7 linked regions of the Mus musculus genome follow. The protein of the gene in region 4 purifies or fractionates together with the protein of the main gene of each other region. This does not show direct contact. Links are inferred from orthologs where the notes say so. Each region holds a gene or a part of one and is shown on either strand. Other genes may lie near its edges.

The links.
Region 1: the proteins of Ncbp1 (region 4) and Alyref purify together in Homo sapiens (affinity purification with western blotting; 6 studies listed by BioGRID and IntAct, with this or other methods). This does not show direct contact. The link is inferred for Mus musculus from reciprocal best matches to the Homo sapiens genes NCBP1 and ALYREF.
Region 2: the proteins of Ncbp1 (region 4) and Kpna2 purify together in Homo sapiens (co-immunoprecipitation; 5 studies listed by BioGRID and IntAct, with this or other methods). This does not show direct contact. The link is inferred for Mus musculus from reciprocal best matches to the Homo sapiens genes NCBP1 and KPNA2.
Region 3: the proteins of Ncbp1 (region 4) and Kpna4 purify together in Homo sapiens (co-immunoprecipitation; 3 studies listed by BioGRID and IntAct, with this or other methods). This does not show direct contact. The link is inferred for Mus musculus from reciprocal best matches to the Homo sapiens genes NCBP1 and KPNA4.
Region 5: the proteins of Ncbp1 (region 4) and Ddx39b purify together in Homo sapiens (affinity purification with mass spectrometry; 6 studies listed by BioGRID and IntAct, with this or other methods). This does not show direct contact. The link is inferred for Mus musculus from reciprocal best matches to the Homo sapiens genes NCBP1 and DDX39B.
Region 6: the proteins of Ncbp1 (region 4) and Pabpn1 purify together in Homo sapiens (co-immunoprecipitation; 3 studies listed by BioGRID and IntAct, with this or other methods). This does not show direct contact. The link is inferred for Mus musculus from reciprocal best matches to the Homo sapiens genes NCBP1 and PABPN1.
Region 7: the proteins of Ncbp1 (region 4) and Ncl fractionate together in Homo sapiens (co-fractionation; 3 studies listed by BioGRID and IntAct, with this or other methods). This does not show direct contact. The link is inferred for Mus musculus from reciprocal best matches to the Homo sapiens genes NCBP1 and NCL.

Annotation. Positions count from the first base shown.
Region 1 is NC_000077.6:120,595,566-120,599,778, forward strand, and holds the start of Alyref (THO complex subunit 4), read right to left. Parts: upstream 2,801-4,213; 5' UTR 2,774-2,800; coding exon 2,540-2,773; intron 2,202-2,539; coding exon 2,070-2,201; intron 503-2,069; coding exon 355-502; intron 156-354; exon of another isoform or gene 43-155; intron 1-42. Other genes in the region: Anapc11 (anaphase-promoting complex subunit 11), read left to right, coding at 3,695-3,803. UniProt on the Homo sapiens protein: Functions as an mRNA export adapter; component of the transcription/export (TREX) complex which is thought to couple mRNA transcription, processing and nuclear export, and specifically associates with spliced mRNA and not with unspliced pre-mRNA.
Region 2 is NC_000077.6:106,996,726-107,000,952, forward strand, and holds the start of Kpna2 (importin subunit alpha-1), read right to left. Parts: upstream 2,801-4,227; 5' UTR 2,634-2,800; intron 611-2,633; 5' UTR 588-610; coding exon 513-587; intron 1-512.
Region 3 is NC_000069.6:69,085,593-69,089,092, forward strand, and holds part of Kpna4 (importin subunit alpha-3), read right to left. Parts: intron 1,997-3,500; coding exon 1,865-1,996; intron 224-1,864; coding exon 95-223; intron 1-94. UniProt on the Homo sapiens protein: Functions in nuclear protein import as an adapter protein for nuclear receptor KPNB1. Binds specifically and directly to substrates containing either a simple or bipartite NLS motif.
Region 4 is NC_000070.6:46,145,011-46,148,510, reverse strand, and holds part of Ncbp1 (nuclear cap-binding protein subunit 1), read right to left. Parts: intron 3,138-3,500; coding exon 3,037-3,137; exon of another isoform or gene 3,008-3,036; intron 1,133-3,007; coding exon 976-1,132; intron 1-975. UniProt on the Homo sapiens protein: Component of the cap-binding complex (CBC), which binds cotranscriptionally to the 5'-cap of pre-mRNAs and is involved in various processes such as pre-mRNA splicing, translation regulation, nonsense-mediated mRNA decay, RNA-mediated gene silencing (RNAi) by microRNAs (miRNAs) and mRNA export.
Region 5 is NC_000083.6:35,244,746-35,248,245, forward strand, and holds part of Ddx39b (spliceosome RNA helicase Ddx39b), read left to right. Parts: intron 1-2,191; coding exon 2,192-2,375; intron 2,376-2,429; exon of another isoform or gene 2,430-2,505; intron 2,506-3,500. UniProt on the Homo sapiens protein: Involved in nuclear export of spliced and unspliced mRNA. Component of the TREX complex which is thought to couple mRNA transcription, processing and nuclear export, and specifically associates with spliced mRNA and not with unspliced pre-mRNA.
Region 6 is NC_000080.6:54,892,871-54,896,942, reverse strand, and holds the start of Pabpn1 (polyadenylate-binding protein 2), read right to left. Parts: upstream 2,801-4,072; 5' UTR 2,788-2,800; coding exon 2,449-2,787; intron 2,096-2,448; coding exon 1,981-2,095; intron 1,315-1,980; coding exon 1,247-1,314; intron 1,127-1,246; coding exon 1,020-1,126; intron 1-1,019.
Region 7 is NC_000067.6:86,352,956-86,356,455, forward strand, and holds part of Ncl (nucleolin), read right to left. Parts: coding exon 3,416-3,500; intron 3,373-3,415; exon of another isoform or gene 3,305-3,372; intron 3,239-3,304; coding exon 3,097-3,238; intron 2,190-3,096; coding exon 2,065-2,189; intron 901-2,064; coding exon 777-900; intron 326-776; coding exon 171-325; intron 1-170. UniProt on the Homo sapiens protein: Nucleolin is the major nucleolar protein of growing eukaryotic cells. It is found associated with intranucleolar chromatin and pre-ribosomal particles. It induces chromatin decondensation by binding to histone H1.

The sequences.
Region 1 (4,213 bases), on a different chromosome or scaffold from region 4:
GGCAGACAGGTGTGGGTGACCTGACGGAAGAAGAACAGGTACCTTTGTCTTTACGACTACAGCCCCGCACTCAGGTTGTACTATGGCGGTTCTGAGAAGGCTTCACAGAAGTGAATCTTCCGGAAGGAGCTCAAGGAGGGGAGGGATGTAGCTTGCTGGATGGGGGTTCACAAGAGGTTGGTCCAGATGTGTGGGGCAGCATGAGAGGTGGCAGAATGGAAGAGAGAGACAAAGGGGCAAATGCAAAGTATCCTCAGCCAAGGGGGGGGGGGCAGCCCAGATTCCTACAGGGAGAGGTGCCAGCCCCAAACTCCACACGCCCCACAGGCATCCAGGGCCCAGTCCCAGACTCACCATCCAAAGGGACACCATTGTACTGTTTCATAGCCTTCAGGGCATCTGCTTTCCGTTCAAAGTGCACATCTGCTGTCCCTAAACTTCGTCCAGAGCGATCATAGTGCACAGCAGCTTTTTTCAATGTCCCAAATTCAGCAAAGAGTTCCTGGGAAGGGGTAAAAATTAGCAATTAAGCCAATTTCCTTCTTGTAGCTCAGCAACACTTGCTGTAAGTCCTTATGCTTTAGAGGTACTTGACTGACAGCCACCCAGGAAGAAGGCAAGGCAGTGGAGATTAAGAGCTGAGGGAAGGGGAGACAGCAACTGTCGCGAACAACTGGGTTACTGTCCACTGTGGGACAATGTAATTACACCATGCTGTAGATGAGGGAAGACACAAAGTCCTATCACAGGACAAAACTACAAAACTCTCTCTCAGCAGGGGTACTTTCAACTTGACTAACTGCGTTTCACTAAATACCAGAGGCCAATAGTAAAACTGTCCATTGAGCAGACAACGCAAAGGGCCCAGTATTTTGGGGAACTGTGACACAGCCCCTACTGCAAAGGCAGGTTCTAGCTCACCTTCCCCTTTCCTCCTACTGCCTGCTGCTGCCAAGTCTGAAGTGAAATGCAGCATGGAACCTGTCCTGGCTGGGAGTTGGAGAGGGAACCCACAGAGTAAGGCACTTCAGCTGCAGGCACACAGTGGGGAGTACAGCTAGCTAAAGCAGTTTCCAGTGGATGCCAGAAACCACCTTTAAAAAAAAGTGTTGAGACAGGCTGGAGAGATGGTTCAGGGGTTAAGAACACTGGCTGCTCTCTTTCAGAGGACCTGAGTTCAATTCCCAGCAACCAATGTGACTCACAACTATCTATAATGGGATCTGATGCCCTCTTCAGGTGTCTCTGAAGAGAGTGACACTGTACTCAAATCCATAAAAATAAATAAATAAATCTTAAAAAAAAAAGAAGTGTTGAGACACTGTGAGTGCTCACCAGCCTTGTTCTTTTCTCCCATGGGGAGGTCAAACAGCTGGGCTCTGGGGAACGGTACCCAGAAAGGCCCAGCACACCTGACTCAGTTCTGGCTATATCAAAGCTAATTCCCAAAATTATGCCTTGTAACCAGAGAACTCTAAATGCCTCTGAGGTCCAGTTTATAAAGAAATTTAAAAAGACACAAAATCCAAGAAGGGAGGGGAAGAGAAAAAAAATATTTCGAAGGCATGGAGAACCATGACCCAGGTAAGACCCAGGAAAGATCGCCAGTTAAGATCCAGCACAGAGACGCAGGCTGGAAGATACTCTCAGCCACCTTTCTCAGCATCTGGGAGATGCTGGACTTCCTTCTCCTATCAGTTCACCATATCGAGCATAAATCTGAGAAGCAAGCACCTTTCGGTCATGCTGGGACCGGAGTTGTGGCCAGTCTGTGCAGGTTAGAAACTGTAAGCTCTGGCACAGGGCAGGCGCTCACAGTTTGGACAGCAGACAGGACTCATTTTTAGGGGGGCGCGCGCACACACACACATACACACACAGTGTGTGACATCTTCCTGCAGCCTGGCTTATGGGGTCGTGCTCAAACCCTACTTTTTCTGAGGCCAAGGCTCTCAGGGTGACAGTGGCTGGCTCTGGGCAGCCTAGGGGAGGGCAGGTTCCAATCTGTAAAGGATCCTGGAGCCCACGTCCGCGTGGGACGAGGAAAGCGGAGAGCTCCCGTCTCCTACCTGAATATCAGCATCTGACACTCCGAAGTCCAGGTTGGACACCAGCAGCTTCCCGCCGGTCTCCACGCCGGCTCCACCCCCGAAGCCGCTGTCGAAGAGGTCGTGCTGCCATTTGTCGGGAAGTTGTTTCGGCTGGAGAGAAACCGTAAGCACAGAGACACTCGTGAGACTCGTCCCGGGAGCCCGCGACACCTCGGCGACGCTCTCCCGTCGGCCCCGCGGCCAAGGTCGAGGAGCCCCGAGAGTCCCCCAGCCCCGCCGCTCCGCTACGGACACCCAAGTTCTCTCGCAGCGGCCCCCGCCGCCACGAGGCTGGACCACGACCGGACAAAGCGTCCCGGAAGATCCTGGCCTCGGGACGGCCTCGCCCCCGCCCACCCCTCGGCCGCGGTCCCGCGCGGGACGCTCACCCGGTCCCGGCCGGCCCGGGCGCACCCTCCCCGGCCCGCGCCGCAGGTCCCCGCACTCACTCTGCTGTACGGCGCCGGCCGGTTCCTGCCGCCGCCTGCGGCGCCGCGGGCGATGGCGGGCCGGTTCCTCATAGGCCCGCCGCCTCGATTCACCCGCGCGGCGGCCTGCACTGCGCCGCCGCGGCCGCCCTGGGAGCCGGCCCTGCCGCGACCCCGGCCCCCGCCGCGGCCTCCTCGCTGGCTCCGGTTCAGCTTAATGATGTCGTCCAAAGACATGTCCATTTTGTCGGCCATGGCGGGCGCGGATTCGGGCCTCGGATCGAGCCCGCGCGTCAGCACGCCGCGGCGTCACTTCCGGCGCCTCCCCCTGCCTTCCGGCGTCGCGGGCCCGAAGCGAGCGGCGATTGGTCTGGGCGCGCGCGATTCCGCAGAGCGCCTGCGTACGGCTCGCCGCGGTGGCTGGCGCTACTTCGGAGGAGCCCGACGCGGCGCGGTCGTTTTTATACATTCCCGCGCGGAGGCAACGGAAGGGCGGGGCGCCTCGTGATTAGGCCGCGGAGGTGCGAGGGCGAGCAGGGGGCGGGGCCTGCGGGCGCCTCCCTGGGAGGCCGGAAGATCCTCGGGCGTCGCCTGGGTGCAGCGCAGTGTGCGCGTCCCGCGTCCCTCCTCACCGTGCGATCGTGGGGGTCCCGGCCGGTCCGTGGGTCCGACTTGGTTGTTTTTGCTCGAAGGCTCGGTCTCCTGACGAGCTGGCGTCCTCACCCCTGCTTTAACTTCGCGGATTAGTGACAGTCACTCTTTCCATATCTTTAAAAGCGAGGCCCTGGTTAGTGAAAACCAATGTTTTGCGTGGATGCGGAGGTTTTGTTTTTGTTTTTTTGTTTGTTTTCGTTTCCTGTTTGGCTGATCTGCTTCTGCCCCGGGATTAGAGGCGTGTGCCACCGTGCCAGACTACATGAGTGCAGATCTTTAAAGGCATCCTTAAAGGTGGCAAAATAAACTCGTGCCATTAATCCCACAGGCTCTCCTTGCCGTCTTTAAAGACAAACACGTGCCTTTTTCTTTCTTTTTGGTCGGGACGCACGGAATTTTGGAAGATGCCGTTCTTGACGAGTGCAGCACTTGCCGCAGCTCCATGACTTTGAGCTTAGGTGCTTTCGTATTCCGTACTAACTCCAGGTCATCCTCTTCCCTCAGGTCACAGGCTCTGTTGTCATGAAGGTGAAAATTAAATGTTGGAATGGTGTGGCCACTTGGCTCTGGGTAGCCAATGATGAGAACTGCGGCATCTGCAGGATGGCGTTTAATGGCTGCTGTCCAGACTGTAAGTGTCTTCCTATGCGCTCTCAGAACTTTAGCCTACTCCACCAGCCTAAAAATCCCTAGGTTTCCCAGCACTGGGTAGGCAGAGACTGGAGGATCTCTGAGTTTGAGTTTAGCCTGGTCAACAGGACAAGTTACCTAACCCTAACCGAAACCCCACCGGACAGTGGTGTTGCACGCCTTTAATCCCAGCACTCTGGAGGCAGAGGCAAGTGAATCTCTGAGTTCAAGGCCAGCCTGATCTACAGAGGGAGTTCCAGGACAGCCAGGGCTACACAGAGAAACCCTGTTTTGAAAAAAAAACAAAAAACAAAACAAAACAAAAACAAAAAGCCAAACAGTGCAAGTTCCAGGATAACCAGGGCTACAAAGAAAAGCCCTGACTTGATAAAAGACCAGGTAAAACAAAAA
Region 2 (4,227 bases), on a different chromosome or scaffold from region 4:
CCCCCTTTTTGGTTTTTCAAGCCAATGTTTTTCTGTGTAGCTCTGGCTGTCCTGTAACTCATTTTGTAGACCAGACTGGCCTCAAACTCAGAGATCTACCTGCCTCTGCCTCCTAAGTGCTGAGATTAAAGGTGTTCAGCACCCCACCCAGTTGTGATTTTTTTTTTAAATCCTTCAAAGACCAACAAGAGATGGCTCAGCGAATAAAGGCACTTGCCACCAAGTCTGAGGCCTTCAATCTTTCAGAGCCATGTAGAGGAGGAAATTCCTCTACATGTACAACAGGTGCACATAAAAATCCTCCCCCCACATACACAAAAGTAAATAATAAATAAATGCAATTTTAAAAGTTTAAATACCTAAAACTAGAGATGAAGCTTGGGCACAGAAAAAAACCTACCTAGCCTGAGTGTGAAGCTCTAGGATTCAATCCCCAGTCCCTCAGAACTGTTGTTATATAAACATCCCCCTTCCCTTTACAAGCACGCAGGAAAGCAACAGAAGGTACTCACTGTGCTGTCCTTCCCCTTGTTCTTGAACCTGTTAAGTCGGGCAGCTGGTAAGTTAGCATTCTCGTTCGTGGACATGGCTGCAGGAACAAGGAGGAAAGCTAGGAGCCAAGGGAGGGTGAGAAGAAAAAAAAAGAAACAAAGAAAAAGTATTTTTAATAAGAATGCAACAGAAGCTGGGTAGAGTAATACACGCCTTTAATCCTAGCACTTGGGAGGCAGAGACAACCAGATCTCTATCAGTTTGAAGCCAGCCTGGTCTGTAGAGAGTTCCAGGCCAGCTAGGTCTACATAGAGAAACCCTATCTTAAGATGAAACAAACAGAAATATACAATAGCATGTTATAATCAACTAAATCTCAACTCCATTTCTATACTAGATTTAAAAAGCAGCAACGGTGGCACACGCCTTTAATCCCAGCACTTGGGAGGCAGAGGCAGGTGGATTTCTGAGTTCGAGGCCAGCCTGGTCTACAAAGTGAGTTCCAGGACAGGACAGCCAGGGCTATACAGAGAAACCCTGTCTCGAAAAACCAAAAACAAAAACCAAAAAAAAAAAAAAAAAAAACAAAAACAAAGATGACGACACAACACAGCCTGGCAGTGATGGCAAAGCACTCCAAGCACTCAGGAGGCAGAGGTAAAACGGATCTGAGTTTGTGGCCAGTCTAGTATACAGAGTGAATTACAGGACAGCCTGGACTACTCAGGAAACCCTGTCTCAAAAATATATAAATAAAATAAAAACAAAACAAAATCCTACAAGTTTTCATCATTATGGCTATAATACTAAGCCATAATTGCCCCTTACTACAAAGGCAACTTAACTGTCAATCAAAAAAAATTTTAAAAAAAGATAATTTAAAATTTCCACTAACCACAGTGAGCCCCGCAGTGGTGGCGCACTCCTTTAGTCCCAGCACTTGGGAGGCGGGAGGATTTCTGAGTTCGAGGCCAGCCTGGTCCACAGAGTTCCAGGACAGCCAGGGCTACACAGAGAAACCCTGCCTCGAAAAAACAAAAAGAAAGGAAGGAAGGAAGGAAATTAATTTTAAGACTTTTACCCAATATAGCTAAACTATTACCATTTGAGGATGTCATCAATACAGAAAAATTGAGATGTCTTACTGTTTTTATACACCTTCAAAATCCAATGGGTAGTTTAAGCACACGGGGCATCTCAACAGATTAGCGGCTTTTCAAACACTCAATAGTCTTAAGCCTCTAGCCAGCACGGTATTAAGTCAAGGATCTAAATTCTAGGCTCCATTAGTTAATAGAACACCAAGTAGGAGAACAATCTACGTCCTTTGTTTGTTTTATTTTTCGAGACAGGGTTTCTGTGTGTATCCCTGGCTGTCCTCGAACTCAAATCGGCCTGCCTCTGCCTCCCAAGTGCTGGGATTAAAGGCGTGCGCCAACAATGCCTGGCAACCATCTACGTCCTTAAGGCAATAAACGCAGCTCTCGTTTTCTGTTGATCGATGGCCAAAACGGATCCATACTAGTACCCTCTTGCAAGTTACATAAAGAATCGGTTCGTTCCATTATAGGGCCTTCCATCACATCATCGCTGTCAGCAATGGCATTAACGCCGCATCTTGCACACACTTCCAGAGAATGCATTCAGCCGGGATGACATCAGCTGTGATCAGTGGGGCTCGATAGAACCCAGGTGTGGTCGTCGCGAAGGGACAGGAACCCAAAGTACCCTGGTAAGCTAGTAGGTTTAACTGCTTTATGTCCGTCCTCGACCCTGACCCAGGTGATCCGGGTCAAGGGCTTAACTGGGGTGTCTTAACTGCCACCTTCATCCCCTGCCCAAAGCTGCGTCTCCTCCCCGGGGCAGAAGCATCAGGAAAGCGGCGGCACAGCCAGGTAGGTCCGCTCGACTGCGGCTGCCCTCCGGTCCCTCCACGCCGACCCGAGCCGCTCCCAGGCCTTCGCTGCCCTCCGCAGCGCCCGGCGTTGCCAACCCTGACCCCGGCGTGGCGAAACCAACCCGCCCCGAGGCCTGGTCGGAGCAGGGAGGCTCAGCTCCGGCCCGGGCGCGGCCTGCTCCCGCCCTCCGCCCCGCAGCCTTCCGTCCGGCCGTTACTGCTCAGGACCGGCTTCCGTTCCTACCTGTACAGCCGGCTCAGATTTCCACGAAAGGTGGTGCAGGACACTCAAGCTGCGGGTCGGCGGCTGTGGAAACGTCTGCTACCCTTCAGCCCTCAGATTTTGTGCCTCGTGCTGCCGGCCGGCGCGATTTAAATTTCCCGGTGACGCCGCGTTCCGATTGGCTGATTTGAGCCTAAGCTGCGCGTTCATTGGTAGGTTTGAAAAACACGTTAGGCGGGGGTGGGGGTGGGACGCAGACGCAGGTCGTAGGGGAAAAAAAAAAAAAAAGGTGGGGGTGGGGCGGTAAGCAGGGAAGCGTCGCGAGATGAGGGAGCGGCCGGGCAATCCCAGGGTGCCTTGCAGAAGGGTGACTCCAGATCTCAGCACACAGCATGGAGACCTGCGTTTCGTCTATGCTTAGATGGACACTGGGCCGTACCCTGTTTGCTTTCCCTGGGCTTGTCCTTAAACAAACACACGAAATTATTATTACACTTGTAAAAAAAGGCTTAGCTTGCGGTGATTGGCGCAGGCTTTTAATCCCAGCACTAGGAGTTCAAGGCAAACCTGGTTTATACAGCCAGGCCAACCAGGGCTAAATAGTGAGACCCTGTCTCAATCAACCAATCAGTCAATCAATCAATAAAAGAAAAGAGAAATATATTTACTTTAAAAAAATTTTACATCAGGAGCTGGTCACCGGGAGAACGTGGATCTGTGTGCCTCTTAACCATTAGTTGTATCACTATATTGTTTATAGTATTTGTTGATTATTTTATCTTTAGGCAATCATTAGTTGTATCGCTATATTATTGTTTGTGCTATTTACTGGTTATTTAATTTTTATCATGGGGAGTGGGATTGAGGCAGGGTCTCACATTAACAATAGAGCCCAGGCTAGCCTTGAACCTAATGCAATCCTTCCTCAACGTCAGTTCTGGGATTACAGACATGCCCCACTTTGTCCCGTGTGGTAAACTTTTAGATTACTTGGAAAATAAAGACAATGGAAGCCGGGCAGTGGTGGCGCACACCTTTAATCCCAGCATTCAGGAAGCAGAGGCAGGCGGATTTCTGAGTTCGAGGCCAGCATGGTCTACAGAGTGAGTTCCAGGACAGAAGCAAAAAAAAAAAAAAAAAAAGAAAAAGAAAAAGGACAATGGAAGCAGCAAATATGGTAACAATAATTTATTAGCCCGGTGGTGGTGGCGCACACCTTTAATCCCAGCACTTGGGAGGCAGAGGCAGGCGGATTTCTGAGTTCTCTGAGTTCGAAGCCAGCCTGGTCTACAGAGTAAGTTCCTGGACAGCCAGGGCTACACAGAGAAACCCTGTCTCGAAAAACAAAAACAAAAAACCAATAACTTATTAATACCTATTTTCTCCAAACCTTTAAAATTTTTTATTTATTTCTTTATTTTGCTCCCTTCCCCCAAACACACACACACACACACACACACACACACTTAATGGGTTTCTCTGTGTCTCTGTAGACCTGACTGAACTCCACAGACCTCAGAGTGCTGGGACTAAAGGCAGTGTGCCACCACTGCCTGCCTTCAAATACTTTAAAACTTGAGTAATTCTGAACACAGAATCACAAACCTTTGCCTAG
Region 3 (3,500 bases), on a different chromosome or scaffold from region 4:
CTTATACTAAAAAGTCAATGCTATTTAAGACATTCATGGAACCTAATTCCACAAACAAAGAGTACCATTTTATTAATATTTTAAAAATACTCACTTTATTAATTTTCTCTTTGGGATGAGTGAGGAGTGCTGGGAAGTGTGAGAGAGCATCACAGTTTAAAACTACTTGTGTTTGCTCATCAGTTCCAGTGACAATGTTGCCCACAGCTCGCAGTGCAGCAGTCTGAAACACGAGATGCAACGAGATGTTTGATATTAAGAACTCTTATCAACCAGTGTCAGGCAACCCGGGACAGATTCAGTCACTCATGAAGTTCTTTCACTGCAACTAACCTATCCTTTCTGAGCACTGTATTTCAGGTACTGATCTAGAAACAGCAGAAATAGGAAATATATACAATTTCAGGCCTTAAGGAGCTTAAGTTATTTCAACAGAACTGGCATCAATAAAAGGGTAATTTTATATAATAATTACTATCATAAAGAAATACTATTCAGCTATTAAAAACAAGGACATCATGAAATTTGAAGGAAAACGTATGAAATTAGAAAATATCATCCCGAGTGAGGTAACCCAGACCCAGCAAGACATGTGTGCTATGCACTCATTAATAACTGGATATTAGGCATAATGTATAGAATAGCCACAGACCCAAAGAAACTAAGTAATAAGGGGGACCACCCAAGGAAGGATTGATGACTCTCACTCAGAAGAGGAAACAAAATAGTCATCATCAGGTGGGTGGAGGAGACAACTGGATGGAAGGAGGAATGTTGACAGAGGATCAGGTGTATGGAGAGAGAGAGTCAAAGACCTAAGATGGGGGAGGCTTTAGGGAGACTATGAGGGAGACTCTAAGCAGTGGGGATGAGGAGCCTCAAGTAGTCACCTCCTATACTTTATCCACTGTGCCATCTTTCAAGTACTTTTTAAATTTTAGGTAAATGTATCTTCATTGTTAACCATACACTAGTATCACTTTAAGAGCTATCTTAAGTTTGTAGGGAATATCTAGGAGGTAAAGAAGGGAAAGAAAAAACATTTTTTTTTCTTCACCTTTAAGCTTTAAGTTTGATTCTAAGGTCCAGAAAAGGGCAAGAGAAAGTAACTTAGAATAACAGCTTTCCTTATAGAACTGCTTGGTTGACTTCAGATCGTTCTAAGATTAAAAACCATTATTTACCTTAAAAAGGTAGGGAAGGTTTTCTGATTCTACTTTACCACTGCAGTTAACTATCACTGTGTGTGTGTGTGTGTGTGTGTGTGTGTGTGTGTGTGTTATAGTAGAGCCTGAACTTTGTACAAGTGAGGCAAGTGCTGTACAACTGAGCTATATCCTCAGCTAATTTTTTTTTAGCTTTTTATAGATGGAGGCTCACTAAAATAAAGCATATGTAAGAGGATTAAAACATAGAGAAACAATTAGGAAGTCCTTAAACTGCATATCAGTTTAAATACTTTATCTCAGCTAAGTATCAGACAAATATCAGTAAGTCAGTGTTAACCAAATTGCTAGATGAGGAAAAATAGATGCTTTCACGGGAGTGGGAGGGCGGAGTGGAAAAAGCAAACAGGAATGGTTTTAGATGCCACCCAAGGTGCTATATTAAACCATGTTTCTTGGTATTAAAAATCAGTTCTTCACAGTAGTGTCTCCTGTCTGGCAGGGAAGGGCCGTTCTTAATGAATTGCAGTAATTTCTCTCCACCTTTAAAACTAAGATAAAGTAACTCACCTTTTCCCATCAAAGACACGTTACATCTTTAAGTGAATAATATGCTTTAATTTTTTAAAAAACTTAATCTTTGAATGTCCTGCTTAAAGCATGGTGAGAAAAACCCAACTTAATCAAAATAAACCTACCTGAACTTTAACTTCCTGGTGGCTGAGTAGCGGAACCAAGTGAGGAACTATGCCAGAGTCTATTACCATCTGTATCTGTTCATTGCCAGCATCCGTAAGGTAAGACAGGGCCCAGACAGTATCTACCAGGATCTAATATGTAAAAGAAAAGTTCAAATATTCAATATTTTCTCATTTTAATATCTCTTTTTGATTTTTCTTGCTGGGGGTTGGGGGTTAGGATTTTGAAACAGGGTTTCTCTGTGTGCAGCTCTAGTTGTGTGGAACTTGCTCTGTAGACCAGGCTGGCCCCAAACTTAGAGAGGCATCTGCCTTGCCTTCTGAATGCTGGGATTAAAAGACGTGCACCACCACACTCGGCTATTTTAATAATTCTTAACCATAATGTAAGATTTTCTCTTCTTGCTTCAACTCACTAGAACATCAATCTCTATTTTGTAACTTTAAGATGTGTAATTATAGTCCAAATTCTATATCAGTCTCTAATCTTAATTCAGCAAACTACACATGCAAATTACACAGCATAATAAATAGAAAACCAACCAACCAACCAACCAACCACAGAAAAAAATCAATGCAAGACATATATAAAAATATTAATTCCTGAAAAAGATAATTAATTTGTATCACTACTACTATGGGGAAGAGAGGCTTTTTGATTAATTTATAATAATGATGACACTTTGACACATGCAAGTCATGTGTTTGATCCTTCATTGTATTTTAAACCCAACTTCAAACTATGGCCAAAGAACAGTAGGATAAAAAGACAGTTAAAATGTGATATATAAAGAACACAATTGTTTACGAAAAACTCCCTCAGGAATAACAACTCTATCTGGGACTCCAAACCCTTTGAACTCTGTAACAAAAAGCAGAAGTTTAAAACCTTTCCAATTCCTAACCAATACTAAGACAATCAGGATACCGCCGAAGGGGGAGACAGCACAACCACAGGTCCTTTAGAAATTTAAGCAAGCAGTTGATCATGGTGGTGCCTGCCTGTAACTGCTCTCAGGAAACCTTCCTCAGTATACACTGAACAGGGCCAGGGCAGAGGCAGTCCAGAAAAGATACACACAAACATATTGCCTTTTCCTCAAAGAAAAAGAAGCCAGCGAACAGCAAACTATGGTGGGTGCACAAGGTAGCTTTAGGAAAAAGGATTTTGACAGAGGACAGGCTGGGCCATATACTAAGACCCTGTCTTGATAAGCAAAACCCAACACCAGTGAAAGAATTTTTACAAAGTGGTATCAACATATGTAAAACAATTACATCTCAATTTACAAATAAGGATCTTTGTCTAGAGTTTCATCATAGCCTAAAATTTGTTGACAAAGGCAAAAAATGTAAGTTACTTGCTCCTGATTCTATATAAAAACTTGATACATTCTATGATGGTCCAATGTTAAATAAGCTGTTAACATATCCTGATTGAAATTCTTCAAATCCAATTAGAATTCTTACATATTTGTAACTACATATAACTACAATGTAATTTCTCCTTTTAAGTCTTTGAGGGCTGATTTAAGAGTGAATTTCTAACTAATATAACATATAGCAAATATTATTTAGTAAATGATATAGTATTTGTGGAAGATAGTCCTTAAAAGAAAAATTCAAACAAAAAAAT
Region 4 (3,500 bases):
AGAATGGCCCAGGCAGAACAGGGCAAATTATAACTCATGGTTACTGACAGGGAAGTAGACAAAATAGTTATACAGGATTGGTATCTGCCCAGCTCTAGTGCTGTTAAGGCTTATTACAAATGTGTCTTTTATCTGGAACTGAATGACTTAAGGCAGCGTAGAAACCCCCGATTAATATTAAATATTTACCACAACAGTTAACAGTTTCTGGGGAAGAAGGGATCTCCTTCAGTTGTGTAGTCACTACTAAGGTGCCCATGTTCCAGTAAATGACTTCCCACAACTGTATGCAAGCAACCCTAATTAAACTCAGTAAGTCACCCATGTGCAAAAAGGACATCAGAGCGGCTAGAATGGGCACAGCAAGAGGAGTGGGGAAGAGATAACGGGGACAATGTGACCAGAATATCTTATATACAAACATGAAACTGTTTTAAAAAACGTTCTAAATGTTCTAATATTTACTCTGTGTGGCCCAATGAATCATTTCGTGTATCAGAATTTTAAAACCACGCACTATAAAACACGGGAAGGAAATGAAGCTTTTAACCAGTAGCCAACATGAGCTGAGCCTAGTCATACAAAGGCTATACTGCTGCTATTATTGAAGACAGACTCAAAGGCAGAGTAGATGCAAACCGGCAAGTACAGAGGCAGCTAAGAACACAAAAAGAGTTACAAACTGTGCTAGAAGCCATGGGAACAAAGAGGATTTAGGAGATAGGATTTAGAGAAAATAGAGACAGAAAAAAGGAAGCAAAGAAAAGCTGAAAATTAATTTCAGATCTCTGGATGGCTTACCCAGTAGACAGTAGCCCGGAATGAGCTTACAGGAGAGGGGTGTAAATAGCAGGAATTTCAGGACTTGCAGTAGTTTTTTCCTTCATTTCAATACTAATTTATAATATATTATAAATTATACACATATAATTTATATATATTATACACACATTCATACATACATATTAAACTTACCAAATATACAGCTTCATTATAGTTATTTGCTTTTAGTGATTCTTTAAGTTGACGAATCATAGCTTCTACAAATTCTCCTCCAAAGTTGTAATTCCTGGCATTCAGCAGTCCAACTAATGTTGTGTAAATTGTTAGCTTCTCAGGTAACAGACGTGCACTGATTTGAGAACCCGTACAAAACAACCCCAAAACAAAGGTTAAATAACTCTGGAACAAAATTTTTTAAACTATGCTTTGAAAATGACTTCTGAAAAGACACAGCATCACTGGGCAGTGTGCAGATACAGATGCCACTGTTTTTCATTATAGTTAATGCAAGAGTTAACACACAGTTACTTGTGAAGTTATCACACCAAAATTACTGCAATTCATGCTAGAGCAGTTTTCCTTCAAGTGTGTGGAGTGGAAGTGAGTAACAACCCCACAGCAGATGGTTTCTATGGTAATCTCTGAAGTGTTCCATGAGATGAGATTCTTTAATGCAGAATCAGTAGGGAACAGAGCATTCAGAGCTTCTACACTTAGCTGGCCAAACACCATGGGACTAGACTTCCTCTTGGAGAAACATTATTGGATTGCTTATACAAAATAAAGAACTAAAATGAGTTTAAATTAAGTTCGTATAAGAAATGCTTAAAGCAGGGCCTGCTAATCAAGTTGAGAACATGCGGAGGACGGGTAGATGGCTGATGGCTGAGAGGGTTACAACTCTTCCTGGCCAACCTGAGTTTGAGAGAACGGATTCTTCCAAGTCTTTCTCTGACCTCCACACATGCTGCAGCACAGTGTACCCACACATGCACACACACACACACGCACACACACACACACGCACGCACACGCGCGTGTACACACACACTAAATGAAGCCTTGAGTCACAGCACAAAGGGAAAGCAAGTCAGTCCTAATGATAAATCTGCGGAGAATCCTCTCACATTGTTTTCTAAGGTATCTTGCTGGGCACAGGGAAGGATGCAGGAGCTCAAAAACTGCTTGTACTGAAAGTACACCATGGTCCCTAAAGCTTTCTCCAAGTACAAAGATTTTAAAGGGCACTGCCAATCAATACCAAGCTCAGCCGTACACAAGTAAGCATGGCTTCTAACAACTTCACCCAGCGTAACAATTCTGTAATACTATCAAAACAGAGGGTATCGTATGGATAAGTATAAATGACTGTTTTCACAGTTTCTTAGTCTAGATATACATTTCTCTGAACTGACTGGATTCTATGCAGACAGAATTTATCTATGGGTCTAGAGAGCCCGACTGTTAAGAGCACCTGTTCTTGCTGAGGACTCAAGTTGGGTTCCCATCACCCACATGGTGGCTCATAACTGCCCATAACTCCAGTTTCAGGGCATCCAATGCCCTCTTCTGACTTCTACAGGCAGAGGAGTAAAATGCCCATATACAAAAAATAAAGCTTTAAAATTAGCCATTATTTTAAAATTCCTGAAATGGTAACTACAGCATCAAGGACAATTATGTCATTAAAAGCTTCTAGAGCATCGTCAGCCCTCAAGAGAGGCCACCCACACACACACACACACACACACACACACACACATCCATACACACCCACACCCACACACCCACACACACACATCCATACACACCCCCACACACACACATCCATACACACCCCCACACACACACATCCATACACACCCACCCACCCACATCCATACACACCCACACCCACACCCACACCCACACACACACACGAGCTAAACTCTACTTTAAACATCTAAATGTGATGCACTCCTTGGTGGGGGAAAAAGGATCTCTAAATAAGATATCCACTTTCTCATCTATTTTCTGAGTTAAAAAATTAACTTCAATTATTTTAAAATTCTAAGAAACAAAACATAAGGAAAACACTTCATTTTAGTCCTATTTATCCCTTTAAAAACTAAGTTCAACAAAGGGCAAAGATGAACATTCCTGAGCACGAGTTTCAGGACTAATTAACATGAGGAAGTCCACCGAACATTCCCCAAGCACACAAGAGTAGATAATACATCATCACCTGGATCCACAAATCGTTTACATACATACACTGTACAAAGGAGCCTTAAGATCTTGCTCTTGTAGTTAGGAAGATCAGCTTCTAAAACACCAGCCAGGCCTTCGAGATTGCTCTCTAAAGAACAGGCACTCTGCAGAAGACATCATCATCATCGGTTAGCGCTCAAGCAATCAGTGAATTAAAACTCTTGGGTGACCATAAAGACAGTAAGGTCTCCCATAAGGCACTGTAATTCCTCAGGGAAGAAACAAGAACCGATGACAATTTCGTGGACAATTCCCTCTGCATCAATCAATCCCATTAGTTACTGTTCTACAAAAAGTCAACGAAATCTTCCAAGCTGGAAGACAGCGTGGGCTGCACTCTGTCTCTCACTAAAGGTGTCAGTCTGCTTCAGGTCAGCTGGAGGAAAGACTATTCCCCAGGTCTGTTTAAGACTTAGCTAATGAAAATTACTTACTGAAAAAACTTAATGATTGGAAGGAATCCCAGG
Region 5 (3,500 bases), on a different chromosome or scaffold from region 4:
TTTAGGTGATACCACCGCAACACTTTGTGGTTAGTTGGTTTTGGTATTGCAGATTCCATTCCAGAGCCTTGAGCTACTATGTGTGGGACTGAGCCACCCCTGGGTCCTTTGTTTTTATGTTCACGACTGTCTCTTAACCACCACGTTGTCCTGGTAGGCCTTGAACTCACCTTAGTCTAGAGATAGGAGGCCTTGAACCTGAGGCTCCTGCCACAGGTTCCTGAGTAGTTGGGGCAGGCCTTTGCCACCTGGCTTGGCCAGAGCCTCTGTTCTGTTCTCCTGAATTGCTTGGTAGATTGTTTGAGAGTTGGGTTGTATGTGGCAAGAGGAAGCTAGATGCTCTTAAAACAGCCCTGGTGTGGACTTTAACTCTAGAGTGGTTAAAGCTTTCCGGGGGTCATAACAAGTGGCCTGTGTCCTCTGTGAAGGAACGTGGTGTGGCCTCACAGTTGGCATCCTTTGGAACTTTTGAGATTATATATTTCCATGCTTGGGTGAGTGGCCTGCTGGGTTTGAAAGGCCTTGTAAGCTGGCCCTGTGAGTAGAGAGATGTGTGCAGACTTCCTATTCTGGTTAGGGTGGGGAAAGAGCAGCTTGGATCAGTCTGGGCTGACCTTTGAGTCAAATCCACCTTCCTCTGCCTCTACTGGGATTAAAGGCGAGCATCTCCACAACCGCCCAGCATGACAGATTTAAAAGGGGGAATTCTAGAAGAAGAAAAGGAAAGGCAGTATGTGCAAAATGCTAAAGGAGGCCAGAGATCTTGTGATCTCTGAGGTTTCCATTGCTCGGCATAACCAAGCATTAGACATTGTTTTCCTAACCTGTCTGTGTGCAAGCTTACTGGCCTCTGAAACATTTTAGCGTATTTATATATCTTTTTCCTAGGATTTTGAAAATAGTTTGTAATCTGGAGGCATTGTCTATGTCTGTGTGCCTGTGCCTCTGGCTGTATGTCATTATACCTTGCCAAAAAACTAATAGACTTTCAGTTCCTTGGCTGACCGGTCCCTTGTGGTGGATTTAATAGTTGGGAACTGAAGCTGGATCAGTGGCTCATTCCTGTATTCCCATGGCCTGGGAGGTTGAGGTGGGCGTTTGCTGGAGTTGAAGGCTGCCCGGGGCTAAGGTCTCAAAACAAAGAGGGAGGGTGGCAAAGCTGCAGTCCTTCTCTGCAGGACCCACAGCACCCTTGTGCTACTCAAAATGCTCTGAGAGTTGGGATCAAGTCTGAGGTTGGGTTTGGTGTAGGAGCCTGCAGATTAGCTGGTTAGGTCCCCCCCCCCATCATAAAATCAGAATCATCTGTACTTCTCCTTGGCTGTGCAGCACAGTGTCCTCTAGGGGGCTGTCTAGTCCCTCCCTTAGTTTTAGCTCGCTTTTCCCTCAGTATTTGTAACTATGTCTGAAAGCTTAACTGATACCAGTAAACCATCGTGAACAGGAGTGGAGTGCTCCTGTGTGCATGTGTTAGCCATTGTGGTTCAGGATTGAGAAGAGGAAGAGGTTTACTGTAGAGTAAGCGTCCTGGTTATTTCTTTCCCCTTGAAATTGGACAAGTCCACGTGTCACAGCTCACACATCCAGCACTCACCTGGTGTCACAGCTCACACACTCACCTAGTGGGTTGCACATGGTGTGACTTTTATCTCAGGCACCGAGGAAGCAAAGGCTCCAGGCCAGGGAGACTGTCTGACAGTTCAGTTAGGAAAGCTTGCTTGTGGTTTGATCGTTGGGTGGCGCCTCACACTTGCTGGTGGCTTCTTGCTTTCTTCATCTGTGTAAGGAAGCTGTGACTTTGGAGTCACACGTGCCTCGTTGTGTAGATCAGCTAGGGCTGTGCAGAGCGATCCTGTCGTGGAGTTTGAGTGGAGGCGGAGAAGCTGAGTGTTCATCCCTTCCTCCATCCCCCTTGGCCCCCTGGTGCTGAGGGGGTCGCTTTGTTTCTTATGGGAGGCACAGGAGCCACTGCAGGCCTGAAAGCTAAGAGTTGGTTTACAGTCAACCACAGAATGGACACACTGGTATTGGCAAGATGGCCCACTGCCTTTAATCTGTACTTGGTGCCAGACAGGCTGATCTACAAAGTGAGTTCTAGGCCAACCAGGGCTATACAGTGAGGCCTCTCAAACCAAAGGGATGGGGGAGAATTCTGGGAGACTGGAACATTGTCCTTTCTCGTGGTTGACAGGTGGCAGTGTTTTTTGGCGGTCTGTCTATCAAGAAGGACGAAGAGGTGCTGAAGAAGAACTGCCCACACATCGTCGTGGGGACTCCTGGCCGAATTCTAGCCCTGGCTCGAAATAAGAGCCTGAACCTCAAACACATTAAACACTTTATTTTGGACGAGTGTGACAAGATGCTTGAACAGCTCGGTGAGTGGCGGTGCCCAGGCCGCAGCTCAGGTGGTTTGGGGAGCAGCCCTTTGAGCCAAATGATGTATGTTTGACATAGGAGCACTTGTGTGCAAGGACGACCCTTATCTATCACCCATGACTGATGGCTCTGGGCCTCCTTCTCTTCCCCTGGTGCTGTACAGTGATGCGGTGTGCTCAGCCCTGCGCTCCTTCCTGTAGCAGGGAACTGAATGTGCTGACGCTACAAGTCCTCACCACCACCCTCTCCTTAGGGATGGACCATGTACTGGGTGTTACACAAGAGCAGCAGGTGCCTGCCCTTGTATCCCAGTATAGCATGCGTGATAAGGATGAAATTTCATTAAGAGTTTCTTTGGGGAGTGCTAGAGAAATGGCTCGTTAGTTAAGAGCACTTGGCTGCTCTTGCAGAAGACCTCGTTTCATTCCCAGCATCCATATGAAAGCATATAACCACTATACATAGCTCCGGTTTCCAGGGGTGCCTGAAACCCTCCTTTGGCTTTTTTGAGCACTAGGTGCATTCGTGTTGCTTAGATGTACATGGAATGAATATAAATAATAACATAACGGAGCTCCGGGTGCTAGTTTTGGCACATGCCTTTAATCCAAGCACTTCAAGAGTCTAAGGCAGGCGAGTCTCTGAGTTGGAGGCCCATCTGGTCTAGAGTCAGTTCAAGGATATCCAGGACTACACAGAGAAATTCTTGAAAAAAAGGCTTAACCTGCCTTTAATCCCAAGGGCTACATATCGAGCTCTTATCTTTAAAAGAGGTGGGGGAGAGAATTGATTCTGTTGAGTTGGGAGAGTAGAAAAGAGTGTAGCTCTAGAGAAAAGTCTTTACAAATGGCCTTTGACTGTCTCAAGATGGCACTCTGGTGGCATTAGATCGGCTGTATATGTCTCATGGAACAGGGTATGTGAGGCGAGAGGTGAAGGTGGAAGGCACAGTGGACTGGTGTAGAGATTAAGTTCTGAGATGGGCGTAGGGAGAGCAGCAGGAAAGGGCCTTCAGCGGTATTTTCTTGGAGACTGTATGTATGTATGTATGTATAGGTCTTCTTGTGTAGAACTAGTTGGACTGGAAATTATGTTAGAAACCAGGCTGGCCTCAAACTCAGATT
Region 6 (4,072 bases), on a different chromosome or scaffold from region 4:
ATAATCTGGCCATTTTATCAGACTTTACAAAGAGCTTACAGGTTAAACCCAACTTGTAATACAGTTAACTGGAAGTATAGTATGCTAACATTTTAAAAACTTCTAAACATTATTGAGTATAATGAACAGTTTATAATCCCAGCTTCTCAGTAGGCTGAGACAGGGGAACCTAAGTTCATGGTCTGTGCAAGCTACAGAGCTGCTAAGACCAACCTGGGCCACTTAAGAGAACCCATTTCACAATAAAAAGTTTGAAAAGGTGTGAGTGTATGACATGCCTCAGTAAGAGGACCTGCCTAGCACACATTCTAAGTCCAAAGGTTCAGTCTCCAGTAGCACCAAAATTAAATCAACAAGACCCAGATTTCTATATAGCCATACACAAACAGCTGGTGCTGACTAATGCTGCCCTCCCTTTCTAGTTTACAATCCCACCCCTGCCCAGTCTTTAGTTTATTACCTGGTCTCTGAAGGCATTTAATATACAACTACTGATATATAGAGACACTTAACAGGCAAAACCTACTTGTTTTAATAAGCAATTACTATTCTTTGGGAAATGTTTTTTTTTGGTTTTGTTGTTTTTTTGAGACAGGGTTTCTCTGTGTAACCCTGGCTGTCCTGGAACTCACTTTGTAGACCAGGCTGGCCTCAGAAATCCCTGCCTCTGTCTCCCAAGTGCTGGGATTAAAGGCGTGCACCACCACGCCCAGCTCAAGTTAGGCCAGTCATGGTGGTATAAACCTGAAGTCTAATCCCAGTTTAATTCTGAGTTTAAGGCCAGCCTGGTCTATAGAGGTAATTCCAGTACAGCCAGGGTTAAACAGAGAAACTCTGACTTGAAAACAAAACCAACCGACCACATATATAAGAACCTTTAAAACGAGTTAACACTCTTTTGACTAGATTGACAGCACACATCAGCATGTTCAAGGTCCTAGGTTCGATTCCGAGCTCATGTATTTTTCACGTATTTTTAAAATGTGAGTAAAATGATCTCAACTTATCCTCCTACTTACCCTTTGGGATGGCCACTAAATTTGTCACAGAGTATAGTAACACGGTTGACTGAACCACAGCCATGAAAATGGGCTTCCAGCTCTTCTGCTGTTGCACCATAGTCCACCTAAGGAAAGGAACACTTGACAAGTACTGGGGAAACTCCAATTTGAACACATAACAAAGTAAGGAATAAGAAACAAAAGTCCCCCCCAAAACCCAAAGCAGACTATTCCTTGATACATACATTGCCAACGTAGATAGAGCGGGCATCAGCCTCCATCTTCTCCTCAAGAGACATGATCACTGGGCCAGCTTTTAGAGGGGAAAAAAATTACCTTAGGCAAGCACATCTTCTGCTCGATCAATACACACACACTTCCACCCGCAGGCTAAATTTTGGGTATACTTCTACTATACCAATTACCTATAACAGTGTTTAGCACATAGTAGGTTTCAATATACATTAGAGAAACTACCTCTTAAAAGACCATAAAAAACGGTGTTAAGATTTTACGTTTTTCAAGTCGAGTCTCTATTCAGCTTTAGCTGAAATGCCTCAAAGCAAACAAAACAGAATGGACTGAAATCTAACATTTTTAAAGAACTCCCTCCCTTACAGCCACCAGTCAGTTCCTAAGTCCTAACTAAAGGGTCTCCAACTGAAAAGTGTTAAGACTTGAAGGTCAAATGCCAGCTGATAATCGCCCCAAGAAGGGTACAGACAAACTAAGAACAAAGAGAAACACATTTATAAATGAGACAAAGGAAGGCACAAGACTATCTCTTCACCAAAACGGCTTGTGTCTAACAAAGGTCAGTAGAACACGTAATGGACTATGACCACAGCACCTGCCCAGAAAAAATTGCTCAGACGAGCAGCTTCATTCAAGGTCCCCGGCTTCTGCCACGCTGCAGTCTTCCCCCACTACCCTATCAACCAAAGATCCGGACTGTGCGTGCATGAGGCGATCTACTCACCATTGCCTGGGGGTGGACTCATATTCATCTGCTTCTCTACCTCGTTTTGTAGCTCCTTTAGCTTCTCAGCCTCTTCCTCCATCTCCCTGACTCGAGCTTTGATCGCTTCTAGCTCCTACAATGAATGAGCAGGGCATGCAGTTAACCAGACGCAGGGGCTGTGCCGTACATTTTGTCTGGGCCCGGCCACAGCCGTGCTCGGCCATTTCCCTCGCCTCGTGCGAGGGTCGTGATTGAAATAAAAAATATTATTTAAAAAAAACACGCAGAAAAAATGAAAAGAGTCAATTTACCTTCTCTAGAGCCACCCTAGACACCCATGATGCCCCACCAGGCCGCTCACGAACGGCCTCGGCCCGCCACCAGCCACGTTATTCCCCGCCCAACCCCACCCCCCGCCTGCCTGCCTCCTGTCCGTGCTCTGGGCCTCCCATGACCCGGCCCGCTCGCTCGCCCTCCTCCCCTCACCGGGTCCTCAATGGCGCCGTCGCCGGGGTCGGCCTCAACCAGTCCCGGCTCTTCCTCCTCCTCCTGACTGCCGGGGGCTCCCGAGCCGGGCCCAGGACCCGGAGCTCCCGGAGGGGCGCGGGGCCGGGGCGGCTCCTCTTCGGGCTCGGGCTCCGGCAGCAGCTCCCCAGGCTCCAGCTCCTCAGACTCCAGGCCGTTCCCGTAGTCCCCTGCGCCCCCCGGGTCCCCCTCCCCGGCCTCCCCACCGGCCCCGGGCACAAGATGGCGCCGCCGCCCCGGCCCGGAGCCCCGACCGCCCGCAGCCCCCGCTGCTGCTGCCGCCGCCGCCGCCGCCGCCATCGCCGCTCAGACTGGGGCCCGCCGATCGGCGATTGGAGAACTGAGCCGGCCACGCCGAGGATTCATTAGTCAGTCAGCCTGCCCGTTACCCCGAGCTCGAATACTATTGGGGAATTCTACTTGGCAATCAAACGAGGCCCCACCTCTAAGGCGGGCCACTGTGCCAAATTCTCTAAACCCGGTAGGTGAAATATGCCTGTCAATCAACACACCCCACCTCCTGTTGAGTCCTTAGGTAACAATACGCCCGCACTGTGACGACCTTCCGTTCATCCTCCACCCATGGGCGGGCCCACAACATGGAGGATGCTCCGCAATTGGCCTCTGACTGGTGAGGCGAAAAGGACCAATCTTCCAAACGCCTCACCGAAGTGGCCCATTCTTGGATGCCGATTGGCTTATGGGATTCGACGGGCAGACACCCGTTGTGCGACAGGTGAACCTTGCTCTCGAAAGGATGGCCTGGCTTAAAACTAGGGAATTCCTAGGCGGAGTGTGGTGGCGTACGCCTTTAATACCAGCGCTCAGAAAGCGGAGGCAAGTAGATTTCTGTGAGTTCAAAACTAGACTACTTACAGAATGAGTTCCCAGGCCAGTCAACACTACATAGAAAAGTAACCTCAAAAATAAAAAAAAAGTAAGGATCAGCAAACCTCACTCCCACTAGGAGTTGTGTCCCGTTGTTCTGCATAGGTTATTGTTTTAGACTAAGATTCAGCCAGTTTTCTTGCCTAACTTATTACAACACCCTCTTTTTCTTGGCCAGCTGACGTGTCAAAAATTCCTTACTTAGGGCTAGTTTGCAAGTATGGTCTCCACACTTTCCCCGGTTTACCCGAGGTTCACAGCTTTAGTCCCATATGTGCAGTTTCTCCTAAACCAGACCACCTCAGTGAGAATGCCTTCCACCAGGTTTCCCATTTTATCTTGAGACAAGTGGGCCTATTTCCACTGCACTCTTAACCGTTCTGTGCTCCTTCCTAGCTAAGCAGAGTGCCCGCAGACAAGGGGCCAAGTCCTGTTTATATTTCTATCCGCAAATTTGTGTGATTATTGGGTGACTGCAACTTCTAGGTGTAATTTCCTAGCTTCCAAACCACTTTGAAGACCACTGGGGGAAATTCTCCATGCAAATTCTCAAGACAGCTCTGCACCTTCAAATAACCATGAGATCTGGCCCTGGAGACGATAGTATGATACCCACACTCCAGAAGAAATTCCACACATTTATAAAAATTAAAGAACAGTAGTGCTAAATCTGCAAGAGGACGGACTTTTTGTAGAC
Region 7 (3,500 bases), on a different chromosome or scaffold from region 4:
TTTATTTGCCTACTATACTCCAAAGGAAATGATTTCAAATAGCTTTCACTCATGAAGACTAAACATCAGCTATATGAACAAAGGTGAACTAATTGTAGGTAACCAATTACTTAAAATACAAAGATACAAATGATTCCTGTTCCCACTACACAATAAACCCTTTAACTTACCACTCCAAGTGCTGGTCTTTCCAGTTCTCTCTTGCCTTTGACCTTTCTCTCCAGTATAGTAGAGTGAAACAGATCGTCCATCAATTTCTGCCCCCTGCTTTTCTTCCAAATTTTTCTCTGCATCAGCTTCAGACTTAAATTCAATATAAGCAATCCTGAAAGAGTACAAGACAATTCAGTTACTACGTTAGAGAAAATATTACTCAAGCATCAGTCATGAAGGACTTAGTCACATGTGCTTTTACTGTTCTTTTACTATGTATTAGCTCATCTTCATCCTTTAAACTGGTGAGGAGGAAAAAGAGCCAACACAATAGACTGAACTGCCTAGAATCACATTTCTCTCATAAAATAGGGAAGGATAGTACTTGTGGCAAAAGATGCCAATTTGGATTGAGCCTGTAAAATTGATCACAGCTTCAAAACCCATCAGTTGAGCATTTTTAATGTCAGAACTTGGGAGGTAGAGGCCAGAGGACCAGATATTCAATTTTCTGGTTATGAAGTTAAGTTTGAAGCAGCAGACTAGAGACTGTCAAGGACAAGGAGAGGGGAAGAAGACACTAAACTTAATAAAACTTTAACACTCAAAGACACAAAACATACCCTTTACTTTTCCCATCCTGGCTGACTAATCTGATCTCCATGGCGTCTTCAAACACTTCCTTTAATTCATCCTCAGTGATGTTGAAAGAGAGGTTTTTGGCTAGAAGTGTTCTTGCAGCTCGAACTATGTTGGAAAAAGATTTAATTAAGTACATCAATTTACAAGTCACAAGAGAATAAAGCAAATAATTCCTATAAAGTACAAGGATATATGCTAAAAAAAAAAAATGGTATAAAGGGATGGAGAGGTGGCTCAATGGTTACTAACCATTTGCATGAAGAGTACCCATGTTCAATTGTCACCTGATGACTCACAAACCCCTGTCCAGTTTCAGATGAGGCTCTCCTGGCTTCCCTGGACACCAGACTTATCTCCTTCCTACTTGTTTACATGTATATCATGTTCCTTAGACCATATGTATTAAGTTGTATATGGAACAAGTCTATTTAGACTTAGTTTCCATCTCTAAGATACCTCATCACTCATATGGTTCATTCTACATCAAAAGCCTAGATCCAGTAAGCATATAACATAGACTGCAGATTGAGCACACAGCAACCTTGTAAAATGAGCAAAAGGGGACAGAGGATATGTAGCAGTTTTAAGAGTGATTGCCTAGCAGGGCAGTGGTGACTCACGCCTTTAATCCCAGCACTTGGGAGGCAGGCAGATTTCTGAGTTCAAGGCTAGCTTGGTCTCCAGGACAGCCAGGGCTACACAGAAAAACCCTGTCTTGAGAAAAAAACAAACAAAAAAACCCAACAAATTTGCCTAGCATGTGAAAAGCCCACGTTCAATTTTCAGCACAACTAAGAAACAAACACTTAAAATCCAAATTCTGAAACTCAAAATATAGGGATCAAGAATTCATTTAAGAGATACGTAAGCTTCAAGCATGTCACGATACACATGTGGTCAGAGGATAAGCTAAAACTTTTTTTCCGAGACAGGGTTTCTCTGTGTAGCCCTGGATGTCCTGGAACTCACTCTGTAGACCAGGCTGGCCTCGAACTCTGAAATCTGCCTGCCTCTGTCTCCCAAATGCTGGGATTAAAGGTTCTTCTCTCTTCATGTGGCTTCTAGAGATCAAACATTTTGCAGCAAGCATCTTTACTCACTAAGCTATTCCTCCTGTCAGCCCTGACATTATATATCCCAGGAATCAAACCTGTCAACAAGCACATGACCTATGACATCTCATTGGTTCACAATGAGGATGAAACTAAGGAAGAGGCACCAGACTGCCTAAGTCTGTTAGTATCCAGTCACCCAGACCCCCTTACATACCTTTCTTACTATCTCTTCCTTTTGGTTTTTCTAGTTTAATTTCATTGCCAAACACTTTTAAACCAGTGAGCTCCAAGGCCTTTTCTAGGTCTTCAGCAGACTCAAAGTCCACATAACCAAATTTCCTTGAAGATGGAAAAAACAAGATTACAGGTATGAGAAGGTGATCTGCACTTATACCATGTGGCACACACACAGAGCATCTACAGCACTAACAAAAATAAAACTAGATCACCCTTATCTTCCATAAAACCAAGTCCAAAGGCTGGAGAGATGGCTCAGCGGGTAAGCACATTGACTGCTCTTCTGAAGGTCCTGAGTTCAAATCCCAGCAACCACATGGTGGCTCACCACCACCCATAATGAGACCTAATGCCCTCTTCTGATGCATCTTAAGTCAGCTACAGTGTACTTATGTATAACAACAAATAAATCTTTGGGCCAGAGCAAGCAAGGACTGAGAGCAGAGCGAGCTGAGATCCTAAAAATTCAATTCCCAACAACCACATGAAGGCTCAAAACCATCTGGACAGCTACAGTGTGCTCATATACATAAACAAATCTTAAAGAAAAAAAAACAAAAAACAAAACAAGTCCATGTACCAAGACATTACAACAAATTCACCTCGATTTCTTCATTCAGTATATTGTAACTAACAGCAGTAGCTAGCATGGACCCCGCTAAAAGTACAGAGAATACTTTTAGCTAAAAGCATATGACTATGCAGATCCATAGTTGTAGATACTGCACAAAATTTTATGTGTTTAATATCTTTTCTTCTTTAAATTTTATTTTATCTTTATCAAGTCAAACACAGGAACTTCAAATTGCAGGCCCTATGACTCGATGATTTAGTTCAATACTATAGTCTTTCTTACTGCAGCTCCTTAACTGTACTTAAGGCCACGAGAGGAGACAACTGACTTTTACTAACATAGTTAGATATAGCCCCATGTTTAAAGGCAGGGAAGAATACAACTGGAAAGTAAAAATTCTAGCTGATACACATGTAACATTCAATTAAAACTTACCTATTTGTACCAGTTCTGACATCCACAACAGCAAGATCATTTTTAGCAAAAAGTTCACTGATGGCAAATTTTAATTCATTAACAGACTTGTTTGGATTAAGGTTTCCAATGAACAGATTGAAAGGTGTAGTTGGTTCTGAGCCTGCACACACAAAAAATGAACTTTCAGCCCACTTAAGCACACAACAAATTTCATCATAAACTATAAAGCACATCAGCATATTTCATTTCAACCCCATGGTTCAGTATTAAGTCCCTTTGTCACTCATCACTTGTGCTAGTGCTACTCTGATCTGTTTCCCCAGTTTTGCAGGCTTACCTTCTACTTTCTGTTTCTTGGCTTCAGGGGCTTCTTTCTGCTTGGTCATCTCCTTCTTCCGTTTTCCAGGTGCTGCTTTAACAGG